4 linked regions of the Canis lupus familiaris genome follow. The protein of the gene in region 1 interacts with the protein of each later gene in a pairwise test. Links are inferred from orthologs where the notes say so. Each region holds a gene or a part of one and is shown in the gene's direction. Other genes may lie near its edges.

Region 1 (4,169 bases):
ATACCTCTTCAAGTCTGGAATACTATATTGATACATGAAATCACTTGTCCTCGTTTGATATAAAACATAACCATGCGCATATTACCATAGAAACGGCTTCAAAAGAAAAGCAACTGCATGATAAATCTTAGGAAAAGATGGGTACGTTTAGGAACATTTGCCAACAGGAAGGTTTTACACACATTACTTAACCTTTCTTGCAGAAGGGCTGTCGCCCCTGTTAGGAGTATGTCAAGATACAAATGTGCACATGACAAGGGTACAGGAAGACACAGCCTCAAGTCCAGGATGAAGCGTCTCCTCTGCCTAGGAGAGCAATACTCTAGGGCACATATTCCCACCTTTTCTGCTGTTACTCAAAGGGGCAGCCGGCCTTGGAATTCTAACTCGACTGAGTGGGTATGGGTATCGCATGGATCGTACCTTGCAGGTGTTTTTTCCAAGGCACACGTTCTACTATCTGTGTCGTCTCGGTGTTCCCTTGTCTTTGGGTCCCCAGGGCTTTCAGCACCGGTGCGAGCCTGCTAAGGAGAGAGTCCGCTTTGGCAACCGAGTAGAACTAAGACCCCTCGCTTTCTGCAAACTGGGACCGTGCGGTACCTGAGGACGAGGGGGGGCTGTCGGCACCATCCCTGGGGAGGCAAAACTGCTCAAGGAGTCGCCCCGGGGCGGCGGGGCGGGGAGGGGGCGCACATGCACGTGGGCTCCCGTGGGCTCCGGTGGGCCCCGCTGCAGGCTCCAGGAGGCGCCCGGGTGCTGCGGGGCGGGAGGCCGGTGCTGCGGGGGGGGGCGCACATGCACGTGGGCTCCCGTGGGCTCCGGTGGGCCCCGCTGCAGGCTCCAGGAGGCGCCCGGGTGCTGCGGGGCGGGAGGCCGGTGCTGCGGGGGGGGGCGCACATGCACGTGGGCTCCCGTGGGCTCCCGTGGGCCCCGCTGCAGGCTCCAGGAGGCGCCCGGGTGCGGCGGGGCGGGGAGGGGGGAGGCCCGGGCTGCGGGGCGGGGCGGGGCGGGGGGCGCACATGCACGTGGGCTCCCGTGGGCCCCGCTGCAGGCCGAGGTTCATCTTTAAGATGAATTTGGAGAACGGAGGAGAGAGAGATAGAGGGCGAAGGGAAAAGGCTCTCCCTCGGGTGGGGGGCGCCCCGGCGGCGGGAAGGGGCCCCGGTGCACACCCCTCTGCAGACGCTCGAGCCGGGGAGGGGCGGGGGGGGCGGAGATGGGGGGACGGAGCCCCGCGGGCCGCAGCCTCCCGCTGCTCCGGGGGCTCCCGCGGCGGCCGGGCGGGCGGGGCGGGCGGGGCGCCCGAGGGCGAAGGGCCGGCGGCGCGTCCGCGTGTGGCGGGGCCGCGGGGGGAGGGGAGGGGAGGGGAGGGGGGAGGCCGGGGAGCCGAGGGGAGGGCTCACATCTCCGCGAAGTTCCCGGATGGTCGCAGCCTCCCGGCGCCGAGCGCTTTTCCTGCCGGGCCGGCTCAGCCCTGCCGACCCGGGAGAAGTTTCCCAGGAGGAAAGAAAAAAAAAAAAAAAAAAAAATGCCCGGCGCGCGGCGGGGCCGTGGAGCCGCCCGGAGCTGCAGCAGCGCGGTAAGGGATGCGCGGGGCCCGGGGGCTGGGGCGGCGCCCCGGGGAGACCCCGCGGCCGGCGGGAGGGCAGGGCAGGGCTCCCCGCGGGGTGGGGGCGCCCCGGGACGGCGGGGGGGCGGGGCGGGGGGCCGCGGCGCCCCTGGTGCCCCCTGGTGCCCCCTGGTGCCCCCGCGGAGTCCCCGCCCCCCGGCTCCCCGAACGGGGCTCCCGCCTGCAGCCCGCGGCTCGTTCGGGGCTCGGGGCTCGGGGCCCGGGGCTGCCCTTCCAGGCGCTGCCACCCCCTCCCCGCGGGGGCGCTGTTGCCCCCACCCCGGGGCCTTTCCCGAACTTTCCGGGCAGCCTCGCTGCAGCCTTTTTGTGCCCGCGCGTTTGTCTGTCTGGAACAGAACCGCCGAAGAAAGTTGCAAGCGTAAGGGAAACCAGCCCAGGGGACCCGAACCCGGGGCGGGGGTGCAGACCTTCACCCCTCTGGGATGAACAGCGGGTACGCCTGGGTCGCCTGGGTCTTCGGGCCCTGCAGGGTCCCTCTGGGGCCACGGGCTCCGGCCTGACGCCTTATCTCGGTTCTCGGGAAGCCTCTCAAGTTGTTGGCAGTGACTGGGTGCACTTGGTCCCTTTTTCTGAGAGTTCCGTGTCACTGCTGCCCGCCCCATAGTCACCCCACCCCCGGCCGCTGGCCCCGGATGGCCCCAGACTGCGGGCGATGCAGCCGCGGAGCCCCGGACACAGGCCCGCCCTGGGTCGGTTTTCCTTTGCCAGTTTCCCAAGGCAATTTCAAAACAATACTGTAGCTTCACTTTGAGTCATTGGCTCTTTTTTTTCCTGCTCAGAAATGCCTTTTCCTATAACGGGTAAGATAACTACCGGGAGGGTTTTCTTGTACTTTGCATAAAACACCTTGTGACTTTTTGAAATGAGAGAGAGCGAGCCCCGGAGGCCATCAGCATTTTGCATCCTAACCCCTCCTTACAGTGCTCACAACAGGGCCTTCCACTCTTGCTGTGTATCTTTTACGCCTGTCGTCCCCATAGGGTTGAGTTTCTCAGGAACCAAACCCCTGTCCACCTGTAGGAGCCCATGACCCGTCACGGAGGTGTGCAGACTAGAGTCTGCAGATGTTATTCAACATTTTAGTCCCATCATCATCATCTTGGGACCTACCCAACCCTGCCATCACTTTGGCTCCCCTGGGAAACACATAAACTTTTTTTGGGTTTGCAGGGTACCTGGGTGGCTCGTTTGGTTCAGTGTGTGACTCTTGATACTGACTCAGGTCTTGATGCCACCGTCCTGAGGTCCGCAGTTCTAGCCCTGCGTGGGTCTCCACACTGGGCTGGGAGCCTACTTAAAAAACAAAACAACAGCTTCAGGTTTGTGTGATGTAGAGCAGGAGGGTTTGTGAGCGAGGTAAGATCACATTCTGGGTAAGATCACATTCTGGGACGTTGACAGACAGGGAGATTACTTCCAATTAGAGAGATGCGTGCCTCCTTCCGTGTGCTTGTTCACTTCACCAGGTAAGTCTCTAGTGGGAATTCAGCCACTTTCTTATGCCCTTAGGCAAATCGTGGAACTTGAGACTTCCTTATCTCATCCAGGAAATGGGGTTGGCCATATTTGCTTTTTGTCCATCACATGGAAGGAGGATCAGGTGGGGTGATGGGAGCTCAGAACAGCAGGAAGCACAGCACAAGCATCAGAGGGCCACCCAGACACCGTGCAATGTGTAGCATCCATACAAAAGAGCGATAAAGAGCTGAAGTGGTGAAGGAGAGGAGTGGTGAGTGAAAAGAAGTTGGTATTCTCTTATCTTTCAACTTTGCTGTCTCAGGTGCTCTGGCCAGAGGTGAGCGTCCTTTTGTGGGAAGAATTCATTGCTGGGTCTGTGTCACTGTCTGATATTTCAGGGTGTTCCTAACTATTGGTTGTAATTTTAGGAAGTAGATACTTTCTGCAGTGCAGAAAAGCACCTTTTATTCTTTGCTATAACCCATTTGTTTTTATAGTATCTCATATTCAGGATTCCATCTCCCGGAGAGCCATGGTCTTCCTGAAACCTGCCTTCCAACGAGGTCTTCCAAATTCCTAATTTCCACACAGAGATCTCTCTGCCACTGTGTCCCAGCGGTCCACAGTTATGCCAGGTGTTGGAAGGTTGGTAGGCATAAGCCTTGAGAATAGCCAGGACCCACATCTGGGAAGCAGGTCTCAGTGGGACTCCAGCCAGATACTCATTTGGCATTGAGGGTCCCTGCTAGGGGTCGCTGCTGTGTACTGTGCCGTGGTAGAGTGGGAGGCCTTGCTCAGAAAGAGATGGGAGTTTGCCTCTGACCGCTTACCTTCTGGTAGAGGAGACAGGTTTCAAACAGTGGAATGCGAGGCAGAATGTGGTCAAGAAGGTAAAAAAAAAAAAAAAAAGATACGGATCAGATGCAAGGAATTTAGAGGAGATCGAAATTGCTTCCAGCTGGAGGGAGTCAGTCCTTCACTTATTTGTCCATTTAACCAATATTTAAGAGGTGTCTCCTGAGGGCCAGGCGTTGCAGGAGTAACAGGCCATTCACGTTGCCTTCTCCCTTCACTCCTCCAG
Region 2 (4,051 bases), on another chromosome or scaffold:
TAAGAAAATGCTAGATGAAACAGTGAAAATGATTAATTTTATTAAGCCTTGACTCTTGTACATGTCTTTTTAAATATTCTTTGTGATGAAATGGGAAATATGCCTAGGGCAGGCACTTCTGCATACTGAAATAATGATTGTCTTGAGAAAAAGCACTTGTGTGAGTTTTGAATTGAGAGCTGAATTGCTTTTTTATGAAATAATCTTTTTGCTTAAAAAAAAAAAACACGAACAAACTGAAGTTACTAGATTTGGGTATTTGGCAGACACTCTTCAAGATGAATGAAGTGAGCCTGTCACTTGAAGGAAAACAACTGACAGTATTTGTTGCCAATGATAAAATATGAGTTTTTAAAGTGAAAATCAGAATTTTGGAAAAAAAAAAAAGAATTTTGGAACGCTTATATCTGCCACTAAGAACTTGACAGTTTCCCAATGCTTAAAGATCTGTTTGAGAAGATCAGTGGTGACATTCACAAATGTGCTTTTTTTTGATAGTGTATAATGAAATGTCAACATTTGGAGTATCTGCATAGCTCAGTGAACCAATATTTTTCAGATGACAAAGGATAATGTCACAAAATTGTTATATGAGTAAAAGATCTATTCAAAACGCAAGGCTTCTGGCCAAGACGAGTGACCTGGATGCCTGATGGCTAATGATGTCAAGAATAGGCTCATTGGCCATTTGTATATCTTTTTATTTATTATTTACTTATTTATTTCTTTTTATTTATTGTACAGAGAGAGTATGCACACAATAGTGGGGGGGGGGGCAGAGGGAGAGGGAGAGAGAGAGGATCCCAAGCAGGTTTCTATACTCAGTGTGGAGCCCGACTCAGGGCTTGATCTCACAACCCTGAGATCATGACCTGAGCCTAAGTCTAGAGTCTGTTGCTTACTCAACTGAGCCACCCAGGCACCCCTCTGTGTATATCCTTTGTTGATTTATGAAACTGGATTTTTTTTTTTTTTAACTGTTGAACTGTGACTTTCTTTTTGAGAGTGTTATATTAGGCTCTCTCCTGTAAATGGTGACATCGTGCGCCCTTCCTAGTTGAGCAGAGACCCATCTAGGCTCAGGAGTCATTATAAGACAGACAGCCTCCACCCTGACAGAAGTTGCTTGGATGTTTATATTTTCTTGGTTCATCTCTTTCAACTCAAATATGAAAGTTGGGTGCAGTTCTTTAATTTCTTTCCAGGTATCCTCTAAACCTACTGTTGCTCATCTTGCAGTTTTCTGGTGATGACATGGCATCTGCTAGCTCCAGCCGGCCAGGAGTGGCCCTGCCTTTTGAGAAGTCTCAGCTGACTTTGAAAGGTGAGTGGCAACATGTGAAATGTTTACTATTTGAGGCCCAGCCCAATCTTTGAGGAAAAGGCAGGGGTATGCCCACCTGGGTGTGAGAGCCAAACACTGTGAAACAGCTTAGGAATGTGAACTATTTATTCTCATAGGGTGACCATGTTGTAACTAGAATTCTATTTTTTCTTTCTTTCTTCCTTTTTAAAAAATATTTTATTTATTTATTCATGAGAGACACAGAGAGAGAGAGAGAGGCAGAGACACAGGCAGAGGGAGAAGCAGGCTCCATGAAGGGAGCCTGACATGGGACTCGATCCTGGGTCTCCAGGATCACACCCCGGGCTGACGGTGGCACTAAACTGCTGGGCCACCAGGGCTGCCCTATAGCTAGAATTCCTTTTTTTTTTTTTTTTTTAAAGATTTATTTATTTATTTATGATAGAGAGAGAGGCAGAGACACAGGAGGGAGAAACAGGCTCCATGCCAGGAGCCTGATGCGGGACTCAATCCCGGGACTGCAGGATCGCGCCCTGGGCCAAAGGCAGGCGCCAAACTGCTGAGCCACCCAGCGATCCCCTATAGCTAGAATTCTTAAAGAAGAACGATAAAAGGAACTTTTGGCAAAAATTGTTGAAAATGGTGATTCTGTGATGCCCCAGAACCCTTTCCTATCGATACTCATTCCCTAGGTTAATCTCATCCAACCTCATGACTTTATTTATTTATTTGAGAGAGTGAGCACACACAGTGGGGAAGGGCAGAGGGAGAGAGAAACTTTGACAGGCTCGTGCTTAGCAGAAGCCCAGCTACCTGATCTCAGGACCTGAGCTGAAATCCAGAGTCAGATACTTAACTGGCCACACCATGCAGGTGCCCCCCAACCTCATGGCTTTAAATGCCACCAATAATAAGGTCACTACTGCCAAAATTATGTCTCTAGCCTGGGCCTTTCCATTGATAGATTTCCAGATTTTGTATCTCTAGTAGCCCACTTGTCATTCCACTTGAATGTTTAGTAGCCATGTAAGCTCCTGGTTTTCCTTTATCATATCCTACGCTCAGCCAGCTGTGAACCTGGCCATGTCTGTCTGTCTTCGGAATGCAACTGTCGTTCAACCTCTTCTCACCACCCCCACCATCCCATGAGCTGCCTTCATCTCTACCCTTGATGAAGGCAGTAGTCTCCCTGCTTCTGTCCTTTGCCCTACTTCATTCTGTGGGTCACATAGCAGGCATGTCAAGGGCTTAAACATGTTGACAACTGGCTCTCCATCTCACCCAATAAAAGCTAAAGGTCCCACATGATGGGACCCCACCCATCACTCCCATTTCTCATTTCCTGTTACTCTTCTACCTAGACCCTGCTGTAGCCACATGGCCTCTTTGCTCTTCAGGGACTATACTGGGCACACTCCCACCTCTGAGCCTTTGCACTTGCTGTTCCCTTCGAGTGGAATGCTTTGGGGCCAGACGATTACCTGGTTTGCTTCCTTACTCTCTTTAGGTCTTTACTCAAAAGTCACCCTCTTCAGCCAGGCCTCCCTGATCCCTCTGTAGCCTCCCCCACACCCCACTTCCTCATGTCTATCCCCTTCACTACTTTATATTTGTCTTCTTAGGCTTGTCACCATTTAACACAGCACACATATGTATTTTTTAAGATTATTTGAGAGAGAGAGAGAGAGAGAGAAACTGCACAAGTTGGGGAAGGAGCAGAGAGAGGGACGAGCAGACTGAGCCCAATGCAGAGCCCTACTAGGGGCTCAACTTCATGACCCTGAAAGCACAATCTGAGCCAAAAATCAGGAGTTGGAGGCTCTAGTGACTGAGCCACCCAGGCGTCCCAACACAGTACATATTTTTATGTATTTCCTTTATTGACTGTCTCCTTCAGTAGAATGTAAACACAAAAATAGGAATTTTTCTCTATTTTCATTACTTTTGAAAACCCAGTGACACAGAATAGTACTGGATACATAGTGGGCTGTCAGTGAATATTCCTTGAATGACAGGTTGCTTTGGTGGCCTTAGCTCTGGAGTCATGGAACTGACTCCTTAGTGGAGTCATGGAACTGAGAGATGCTTGGGGAACAGTGCTGAGTATCAGAGCTCAGATACACGGTCATTTGGAGGCAAAATTGTCTCATTATTTTTTAATTTAATTTAATTTATTTTATTTTTAGTTGTTTTTTTAAAAAAAATTATTTGTTTTTATTGAAGTTTGATTTGTCAACGTATAGTATAACAACCAGTGCTCATCCCATCAAGTGCTCTCCTCAGTCCCCGTCACCCAGTCACCCCAACCCCCTGCCTGCTTCCCCTTCTGCAACCCTTTGTGTCTCATCATTTTTTAAATTATGATTTCTGAAATATAAATGTTACTCATTTCTTTTATCTGTTTATCAGCCTTAAGATTGTTTCCTTCCCTCCAGCTCCTCAGTGCTCGTCCTTGGAGGAAACTAATATACCAGTTTCTTTTCTTTCTTTCTTTTCTTTTTTTTTTTTTTTTTAAAGATTTTATTTATTTATTCATGAGAGACACACAGAAAGAGAAAGAGGCAGAGACACAGGCAGAGGGAGAAGCAAGCTCCATGCAGGGAGCCCAACATGGGACTTGATTCGGGACTTCAGGATCACACGCTGGGCCAAAGGCAGGCTCTAAACCACTGAGCCACCCAGGGATCCCCAATATATCAGTTTCTTGTGTGTCCCTTCTAAGTACATCAAAGGGGATATGATTGT
Region 3 (4,169 bases), on another chromosome or scaffold:
GGACAGGAAAGACATTCTTGAGAGTGGGGTGGGAGTGACCACAGACCAGAAGGGCCACCAGAGAGATCTGAGACTCCCCCCTCCTTCTATAGATGAGGGGGAACTGAGGCCCTCACATCACACACTGTATCATTCCCCTATGGCAGGGGGGACTCCCCCTCTTTAGAGGCCACCAGCTGGGTGGTGGGTGGAGACAAGGGTGAGGGGTGGGAGTGTGGTTCTGGGCAAGGGACCAGGATTGCCTGAGGCCTGCTCTCTTACCCAGGTCCCTCTCTCCTCAGGACCCAGTTTCCTGGCCGGGAACAGCAGGTGCGGCTCATCTACCAAGGGCAGCTGCTAGGAGACGACACCCAGACCCTGGGCAGCCTTCACCTCCCGCCCAACTGCGTTCTCCACTGCCACGTGTCCACGCGAGTCGGTCCCCCACACCCCCCTTGCCCACCGGGGTCAGAGCCAGGCCCCTCCGGGCTGGAAATAGGCAGCCTGCTGCTGCCCCTTCTGCTTCTGCTGCTGCTGCTGCTCTGGTACTGCCAGATCCAGTACCGGCCCTTCTTTCCCCTGACCGCCACTCTGGGTCTGGCCGGCTTCACCCTGCTCCTCAGTCTCCTGGCCTTTGCCATGTACCGCCCGTAGTGCCTCCACGGGCTCTCGGCAGCGTTGCTGGCCCCTCTGGACCTTGCTCCCCTCGACACAGTGGGCGATGCTGTCTGCCCAGGCCCACCTCTCCGGCCTGCCTCTTCCCACTACCCTGGAGCCCAGCCCTGCGCAGCAGAGCGCTCCGGGAGTCCGCCGACGCCCCTCCCTGTGACCTCCATGGCTCTGGGCCACGTCCTGGGGCTGCTGGCTCTCAGCCCCCATTGACAGTCAGCTCCTCGGGGTCAGGCAGCTGCTGTCACTGCCTTGGCCCCCCGCAGAGCCGGGCTACACCCCTGGGCCCTTCTTAGTGTCCTGCCCGAGGACCCAGCCACCTCTAGTCCCTGATAGCTCCTTGGGCTGGTTGGAGGACCCAAGGACTGCGGGGCGCTGGGGAAGGGGAGCTGGGAGGGGCAGAGGGATTCTGTGGAACACGTGCAGATTAAATAACTGTGAAGTTTTCACTCCTGCTGTGTGTCTGGGTGTGTGGGCCTCTGGGGGTGCTGGGCGGGGACTGAGCCCTCCCGGGTGCACAGCCTTACAACGGCGAGCCGCCGACTTCCGCTCGCTCTTCGCACTAGCCTCGGCGCCCGGCCCCTTGGCCCCGCCCCCCGCCCGCGGTACCGCCCCGGCTCGGCGCGCGCAGCTTCCGGACGCGGGGGGCGGGGCGCGCGGCGCCCGGACGCGCGGGGCCTGACGGGAGCCACGTCTGTGCTGGTCGGGGGCTGAGCCGCGATTGGCGTCCGGGCCGCGGTCCGGGGGTTGCTGGGAAGATGGCGGACTCGGTGGCCTGCCGATGAGGAGGCCGCGGGGGGAGCCCGGCTCCCGGGCCCCGAGACCGACTGAGGGAGCGACCTGCGCGGGGCCTGGGGAGCCATGTAGGGGTGGCGCCTGCGGGGCGGGCTGCGGGAGGGCGGCGGGAGTTGGTGTTGGCGACCGTGAGCACGGTCTCCGGGCGTCGCCGGGCGTCGCCGGGCCGGGTGGGTGTGGGGGCCCCTAACACCGCCGACTCCGCGCCATTGCAAAGCCGCGCGCTCGGGCTCCACGGGCCCCCTGCGAGCTGGGCGCTGCGTTCTCGTTTCACGGGCGAGGAGGCTTGGGCAGAGAGACGAAGCCACTTGTCCAAGGTCATGCAGCTGGTAAGTGGGAGCGCCCAGCATGGAACCCAGGACCGCCCCGCTGCCGAGCCCGCGTTCCACCCTCCTTGCCGCTGCCGCCTCCTGCGGGAGGGGGAGGTGGTCGAGAGGGCGTGTCGACAGGGCAAGCTGGGCTCCAGGCTGGGCACGACCACTAACCCGACTCGTGACCTCGGGCTTACCGCCCCCCCCCCTTTCCTCTCTGGGCCTTGGTTTCTCCACCTGTGAAATGGAGGTAGTGCCAGCCCTGCCTACCTCAGAGGCGCGTGCGGAGCATCAGAGATCCATAGTGCATGTGGAATTGCTCTGTAAATATCCCTGTGCGGAGGACATGGAAGGTGCTGCTTTAAAGGATGGAAGGAGGCAGAGAGGGGCGGGGTGGGGAAGACTAGAGCAATCACAGAGGAAGGACGAACATGAGTGGGTGTTCTGACCCCAGGGCCCTCTGAATGGGGAGTGAGGTCAGGAGTTGATGGCTGGTTTCCGGTTTCTCTCCCCTTTGGAGAAAAGCTCACCCCCTTTTCTGGGCTGCCCCTCAGGGTCTCCATCACCCAACTCCATGCTTCGACTCCTGCTCTCTGCCCAGGCCTCTGCTGCTCGGCTGTCTGGCCTGCTGCTGCTCCCGCCAGTACAGCCCTGCTGTCTGGGGCCCAGCAAGTGGGGGGACCAGCCTCCTGGAGGAGGCCTCCATGCAGGCCCCGTGCAGGGGCTACAGCGGCTTCTGGAACAGGCGAGGAGCCCTGGGGAGCTGCTGCGTTGGCTGGGCCAGAACCCCACCAAGGTGCGCGCCCATCACTACCCTGTGGCACTTCGTCGTCTGGGTCAGCTCTTGGGGTCTCAGCCACGGCCCCCTCCCGTGGAGCAGGCCACACTACAGGACTTGAGTCAGCTCATCATCCGAAACTGCCCCTCCTTTGACATTCACACCATCCACGTGTGTCTGCACCTTGCAGTCTTACTTGGTGAGGAGGGTGTCTGGGGGGTGGGTGTTCACGGAAGAATAGAGAAAGAGCGTAGAAGACCCAAGATCACTGACAGAATTCACCTCTTGGGCTTTGGCAGGACTGGTGCATACCTTGGCACACTTGCTGCCGCTCCCCTTGTATCCACAGCTGACACCAGGAGTCGAGCAGCATTCCCTGCAGCTTAGCTAGGGGTGCCAAGCCCGGATTCCTTCCTACACAGCGCTCTAGAAAGCCACTACAGTTTGTCACCATTGGCGTGAGATGAGAGCTCATTTGCCATCTTTATTTGAGTTCTTGCCCGCAGACTGTCCTGATAACCTCACAGTCACATGGTATTTCACACTTCTCCAGTGCTTCCACTTACACTATAGCCCATCCAGTCCAGAACACAGAGACGTGAAAGGTTGGGAATTCATCAGCTGAACCCCATGACTGGAACAGAGCAGCTCCCTGTTACCAGGCCTGCCTCCTCTGACCCTCTCCCTCTCAGGCTTCCCATCAGATGGGCCCCTGATGTGTGCCCTGGAGCAGGAGAGAAGGTTTCGCCTCCCTCCGAAGCCACCTCCCACCCTGCAACCTGTCCTGCACGGTGGGCAAAGATTGGAAGCTGCTCTGAGCTGCCCTCATTTCCTGAGGCGTCCACGGCAGCACCTCATCCGCAGCCTGGCAGGTGCTGGAGGGGACTGAAGGCAGGTGGCGGGGAGGGGCTGAAGAGGAGGCCGGTGGTGGTGTCTGGACTGAGGGTCCAGCATAATAGGCTGTTCTTCACAGAGGCCAGGCCAGAGGAACTGACTCCTCACGTCATGGTGCTCCTGGCCCAGCACCTGGCCCGGCACCGGTTGCGGGAGCCCCAGCTTCTGGAAGCCATTGCCCATTTCCTGGTGGTCCAGGAAGCCCAGCTCAGCAGCAAGGTGGGATTACCTCCCACCCTGCCATGCTTGTCTCCTAGCCCTCCACGGTGTCAAGCCCAGCTCCCTGTCAGCTTGATTGGCTGCCTCCTGCAGCAAGCAGCCAGGCCCTCTGCTCTGTCCCCCTGGGGTTTTATCTTTGCACACCCCCTCCTGGCTCATCCACCTACCCAGTGTGTATGCCTGGCTCTCTGCAGTTCTACTCACTTAGCACTGTCTTAGCTTCATTAAGCCCACTCCTCTTAAGTCTTCAGGGCCAGACCCCACAGCGATGTCTCCTCCATTGGTTTGATTAATCACGTGGGGCTCAAGACACGGGTTGTGCTGTCAAACTTCTGGTGTGTACGTCGGGGGAGAGGGATCGCTCTGCCTTTACAGAGACATTACAAGCCTGCAGGCCAAGCCTCCCTGAGGTTCAGCTTGTGAAGGGTATCAACTGTTTCATGCTAGGTGAAGGGCTGCTCTTCCTCCACAGGTGGTACAGAAGTTGGTCCTGCCCTTTGGGCGGCTGAACTACTTGCCTCTGG
Region 4 (3,946 bases), on another chromosome or scaffold:
GCTACCAGCCCAGATGATTCTGGTCAGGGGAAAACAGAAATAAAAACAGGGAAATGAGACGGGGCGGAGAAGGCAAAAAGCAAAATCTCTGAGATTGTTGGAAAGCTCAAGCATGAGGTTTAGGGCTTTAGGGAACTGTAGGCCTCGGTTTGAGGGAGCTGCAGTGCCTCTGTCCACGAACCCGATGGCACTGTGTGACTTTGGAGGAGTCCAGAGAAAGGGCAGCCACTGGACTGCCAAGTAAGTGGGTCCCACAGGCAGACCCTGGCCTGGGGAGGCTGATCCTGGCTCATCTCCAGTTGGACCCTCTCCTGGCAAGTGCCTGAAGGGTTCCCCCTGACCAGTGATGGCAAACCCAGGCCTGAGGACCTCCAGGAGATTTGCACAATTGGTGGGAGCTGGGCCCCAATATTCGCTCTACCCTGGCTTCTGAGACCCTATAACATAGCAATACTGATAATTCGACCATGTTGGCATTGTTACCTTCCTCTCCTGGGAGACAAGGTGGATAGAAGCCTCTCCCCAACAGGGGATTGGAGCTGGGGGGGGAGTCAGGCAGGAACGATTCCTAACGGGGCACCCCTGATCAAGTCTCATTAAGTGCCTACTGTTTGCCTCTCTCAGCCTCTTCTAGCTTTCGCCCAGCCTGTGTCTGTTTCATTTCCAGGCTACACCCACTGAGCACCTACTGTGTGCAAGCACCCAGCTCCGTGCGATAGAGGAGCCCCGGCCTCTAGATCCCTGTCAGGTGGAGAGGGACTCCCATCAAAGGCAGAAGGTCATGACCTCAGGCAGTGCCCCGAGGGCCAGGGCCGCCCCGACAGGACGATCAAGCCCCATCCTCCATCTGTCTGCCTCCTGTGTCTCTCCCTCATGTCTCTGCCTCTGGGTCTGGGTCTCTGTCCCCATCCGCCCCGGCCCTCTTCCCCGCTCTTCACCCCGCCCCCCGCCCCCAGGGAGTCCCGTCCCGCCCCGCTCCCGGCTTCCGCCCCTCCCTTCCCCCCCCCGCCGCGGAGGGCCGGCAGGGGGCGCTGCGGGGCGGCCTCGGCGGCCCGGGGAGGCGGGGCGGGCGGCGGCCGCGTCGGGACCGGCCGCGATGGGACCGGAGGCGGCGCGGGCGGCGGCGGAGGCGCAGACAAAGGCGCGGGCGGCGCGGAGGGCGGCGCGGAGGGCGCGGGCCCCGGAGCCAGCGAGCGAGCGGGGCGCCCGGCTGCGGGGAGTCGGCGCCGCGGGGCAGCACCCGACTCGCGCCCGGACACTCGCGGGGCGCCGAGCCCGCAGGGTGAGCCCGGCTGTCCGAGCCTGCGCGGGGGACGCGGGGGCCCCCAGGTGCCAGGGCCGGGGCGAGGGCGCGGGGGTCCCCGAAGTTCCGGGCCGGGAGGCTGGGGGCGGCCGGGGAGCCCCGAAGTTCCAGGGCTTGAGAGGGCGCAGGGGCCCCGAAGTTCCGGAGCCGGGGTCGGAGAGGGCACGGGGCGAGGGGTTCCCAAAGTTCCGGACCCGGCGTTGGAGGAGGCTGCGCTGTCCCCGACGTTCCCGGCCTGGGGTTGGGAGGCGGCACGAGAGGATCCCGAAATCACCGACCCGGGGCTGGAGAGCTGGCAGGGAGTCCCCGGAATTTAGAAGTCGGAGGTGGTGCGAGGGATCCCCGAAGTTCTGGACCCGGAGTCGGGGGGCATCGCGCGAATCTCGGAAGTTCCCGGGTCGAGGGTGGCACTTCCCGAAGTCGGGGAGCGCACTGGGCGCCCCGATTCTGACGCGGATGGGAATTCTTTCCTTACTGAATACCAGGCCCCCCAGCCCGGGGCGCATGGGGTGGGGCTTCGCCCCCACACGCAACTGGGGATCCTGGCACCGGGCGGGGTCCGGGCCTCCTCCGGGAGCCCCGCGGCCGGCGGCGACCGAGGCACATGACTAGTTGGTGAGTAACTTTCCCCAAAGCTGCAAGTCGCGGCAGGACCGTCAGGGCCGGCAGGGCCTGGGTTTCTGGGACCCCTGCACCCTGGAACCCTGCTTCGACCCAGGACTTGCTCCCAACCCGGGCCAGCGCTGCCGCCCCTCCCCCACACAGGGGCTCCGGTTTCAGACCCTGTGACCCGGGCAGCAGCTGCCCAGGACAGGGTGGGGGGGCAACCCTCCTCTGACCAGGGAGGCCGCTCCGCGGGGGGCCTCCCTTCCCCCACTGGCCACCTCCCTTCCCCAGGTCCCTCCTGGTCCCCTGCAGATCCCCCAGATGCAGGTTTTGGAGGCACAGAGGTGAGGTTAAGGAATTCTCCAGGGCAGCCATTCCTGGTATCTGTGAGGTCGTGGCTGGAGGCAGCAAGAGGGGCTGGGGATCTCCCAATCCTTGATGCCACCCAGCCCTGCATGGTATTGGGATAGAGTGGTCATGGGCAATCGGTTAGTGGGTACCAGGGTAAATTTGTTTGACTACATCTTCTTAACTAGGCTGGCAGCTCCCTGGGGATTTGGACTCTGCCTCCAAGTGTGCCTCTGCCCTAGAGTGGAAGCTGAGGGGTCCCTCTGTGGGATCTAGGAGGAACTGGTCTCCCAGGAGGCATCTGGTGATGGCCACATTTTGATGGAGATCCTGGTTTGGGGAGTGATGAGTGAATGTGGCAGAAAATACCAAGTAGGAGTTCACCTTGGCCTTCTCTATCTAGCACCAGTATTGAGGGGGTGTCACTCTGGGTTCAGTAACCAGCATGCTGACAAGTTTATGCTGGGAGATCCAGGGCCACCTGGCTCCTCTCGGAGAGTCATCTCCTGCTCAGGGTGTGTGGGGGCTTCCTCCCAAAGGAGAGGGACAGGGTGTTTTTGCTGAATGATCTGCTGATTCCTTTACCTTTCTAATTGAGGTTCTATGAATGGTGTGGCTGGTGGTGGGTCCTGAGGTTGGACCCGCTTGGTTTCCTTAAGCCTGTCCTGGGGAGACACTCACAATCCCTCTCTCCCCCCAGAGGCTGAACCCGCAGCTCCTGCCATCCCTCTGGCTGCCTCTTGGAGCCCACCCAACCCAACCTGACCAATGTCCACAGCCAGGTGAGCCCCTGCCTCCCCAGCTTGGCCCTGAGCCCCCTGGGGGATGCCTAGCCCCACTGAGAACCGTCTCCCCACGCAGGGAGCAGCCCATCTTCAGCACACGGGCACATGTGTTCCAGATTGACCCGGCCACCAAGCGGAACTGGATCCCCGCGGGCAAGCACGCACTCACGGTCTCCTACTTCTATGATGCCACCCGAAATGTCTACCGAATCATCAGCATTGGGGGTGCCAAGGTCCTGGCAGGGCCTGGGTGGGGGTGGCAGGCTCCTGAGGTCTCAGAGGCAGGTTTGGGTCTAGTCATTACCCTGCTGTGTGCCTGGGGGCTGGGGGTTGGGAGGAGCCCTTAAATCAGTCTCTGTCTTGAGATGGCTCACACCTAGAACCTCCCAAGAGCTAATACAAAGTGACACCCTGGGGGTCTCATGTTCATTATTGTCAGTCTCATCAAGCTTGAATTGTGTTCCCCCCTCTTCCCTCTTCCCAGGCCATCATCAACAGCACCGTCACCCCCAACATGACCTTTACCAAAACCTCCCAGAAGTTTGGGCAGTGGGCAGACAGTCGTGCCAACACCGTCTATGGCCTTGGCTTTGCTTCTGAGCAGCATCTGACCCAGGTGGGCTTGCAGGATTACATGGCGGGAAGGACAGGGCTGGCCCTGGGGTTCCTCTTAGGGCCCTGGGGGCCTCTGGGCAGGTGCTGTAGAATAGGCATGAGAATTAGACAACCCTTCCTGGTTCCCTGGCTCATGTCTCAGCTCTGCTGGCCATCTGCTCCAATTTTGGACACACCCCGCCCTTCTCTGGGTGCCTGGGATGAGCTGGGAGTTCCCTCACACACCCTAGCACTACCTTCATCATTGCCTCCCTCCACCCTCTGCTGTCTTCAGACTTCAATATTGTCT

What was found. The genes of interacting proteins can lie anywhere in the genome.
Region 2: the proteins of WIPF1 (region 1) and WWP2 interact in binary tests that used the Homo sapiens proteins (3 or more experiments, as listed by UniProt). The two-hybrid records come from large-scale screens. The link is inferred for Canis lupus familiaris from reciprocal best matches to the Homo sapiens genes WIPF1 and WWP2.
Region 3: the proteins of WIPF1 (region 1) and FASTK interact in binary tests that used the Homo sapiens proteins (3 or more experiments, as listed by UniProt). The two-hybrid records come from large-scale screens. The link is inferred for Canis lupus familiaris from reciprocal best matches to the Homo sapiens genes WIPF1 and FASTK.
Region 4: the proteins of WIPF1 (region 1) and HOMER3 interact in binary tests that used the Homo sapiens proteins (3 or more experiments, as listed by UniProt). The two-hybrid records come from large-scale screens. The link is inferred for Canis lupus familiaris from reciprocal best matches to the Homo sapiens genes WIPF1 and HOMER3.

Annotation. Positions count from the first base shown.
Region 1 is NC_049257.1:19,016,488-19,020,656, reverse strand, and holds the start of WIPF1 (WAS/WASL-interacting protein family member 1), read left to right. Parts: upstream 1-1,369; 5' UTR 1,370-1,579; intron 1,580-4,169. UniProt on the Homo sapiens protein: Plays a role in the reorganization of the actin cytoskeleton. Contributes with NCK1 and GRB2 in the recruitment and activation of WASL.
Region 2 is NC_049226.1:80,504,301-80,508,351, reverse strand, and holds the start of WWP2 (NEDD4-like E3 ubiquitin-protein ligase WWP2), read left to right. Parts: upstream 1-1,251; 5' UTR 1,252-1,254; coding exon 1,255-1,324; intron 1,325-4,051. UniProt on the Homo sapiens protein: E3 ubiquitin-protein ligase which accepts ubiquitin from an E2 ubiquitin-conjugating enzyme in the form of a thioester and then directly transfers the ubiquitin to targeted substrates.
Region 3 is NC_049237.1:15,854,925-15,859,093, reverse strand, and holds the start of FASTK (fas-activated serine/threonine kinase), read left to right. Parts: upstream 1-1,369; 5' UTR 1,370-1,429; coding exon 1,430-1,511; intron 1,512-2,308; coding exon 2,309-2,731; intron 2,732-3,224; coding exon 3,225-3,404; intron 3,405-3,505; coding exon 3,506-3,645; intron 3,646-4,117; coding exon 4,118-4,169. Other genes in the region: TMUB1 (transmembrane and ubiquitin-like domain-containing protein 1), read left to right, coding at 282-633. UniProt on the Homo sapiens protein: Phosphorylates the splicing regulator TIA1, thereby promoting the inclusion of FAS exon 6, which leads to an mRNA encoding a pro-apoptotic form of the receptor.
Region 4 is NC_049241.1:44,587,857-44,591,802, forward strand, and holds the start of HOMER3 (homer protein homolog 3), read left to right. Parts: upstream 1-1,146; 5' UTR 1,147-1,282; intron 1,283-1,388; exon of another isoform or gene 1,389-1,918; intron 1,919-2,263; exon of another isoform or gene 2,264-2,957; 5' UTR 2,958-3,025; coding exon 3,026-3,039; intron 3,040-3,118; coding exon 3,119-3,275; intron 3,276-3,526; coding exon 3,527-3,658; intron 3,659-3,946. UniProt on the Homo sapiens protein: Postsynaptic density scaffolding protein. Binds and cross-links cytoplasmic regions of GRM1, GRM5, ITPR1, DNM3, RYR1, RYR2, SHANK1 and SHANK3.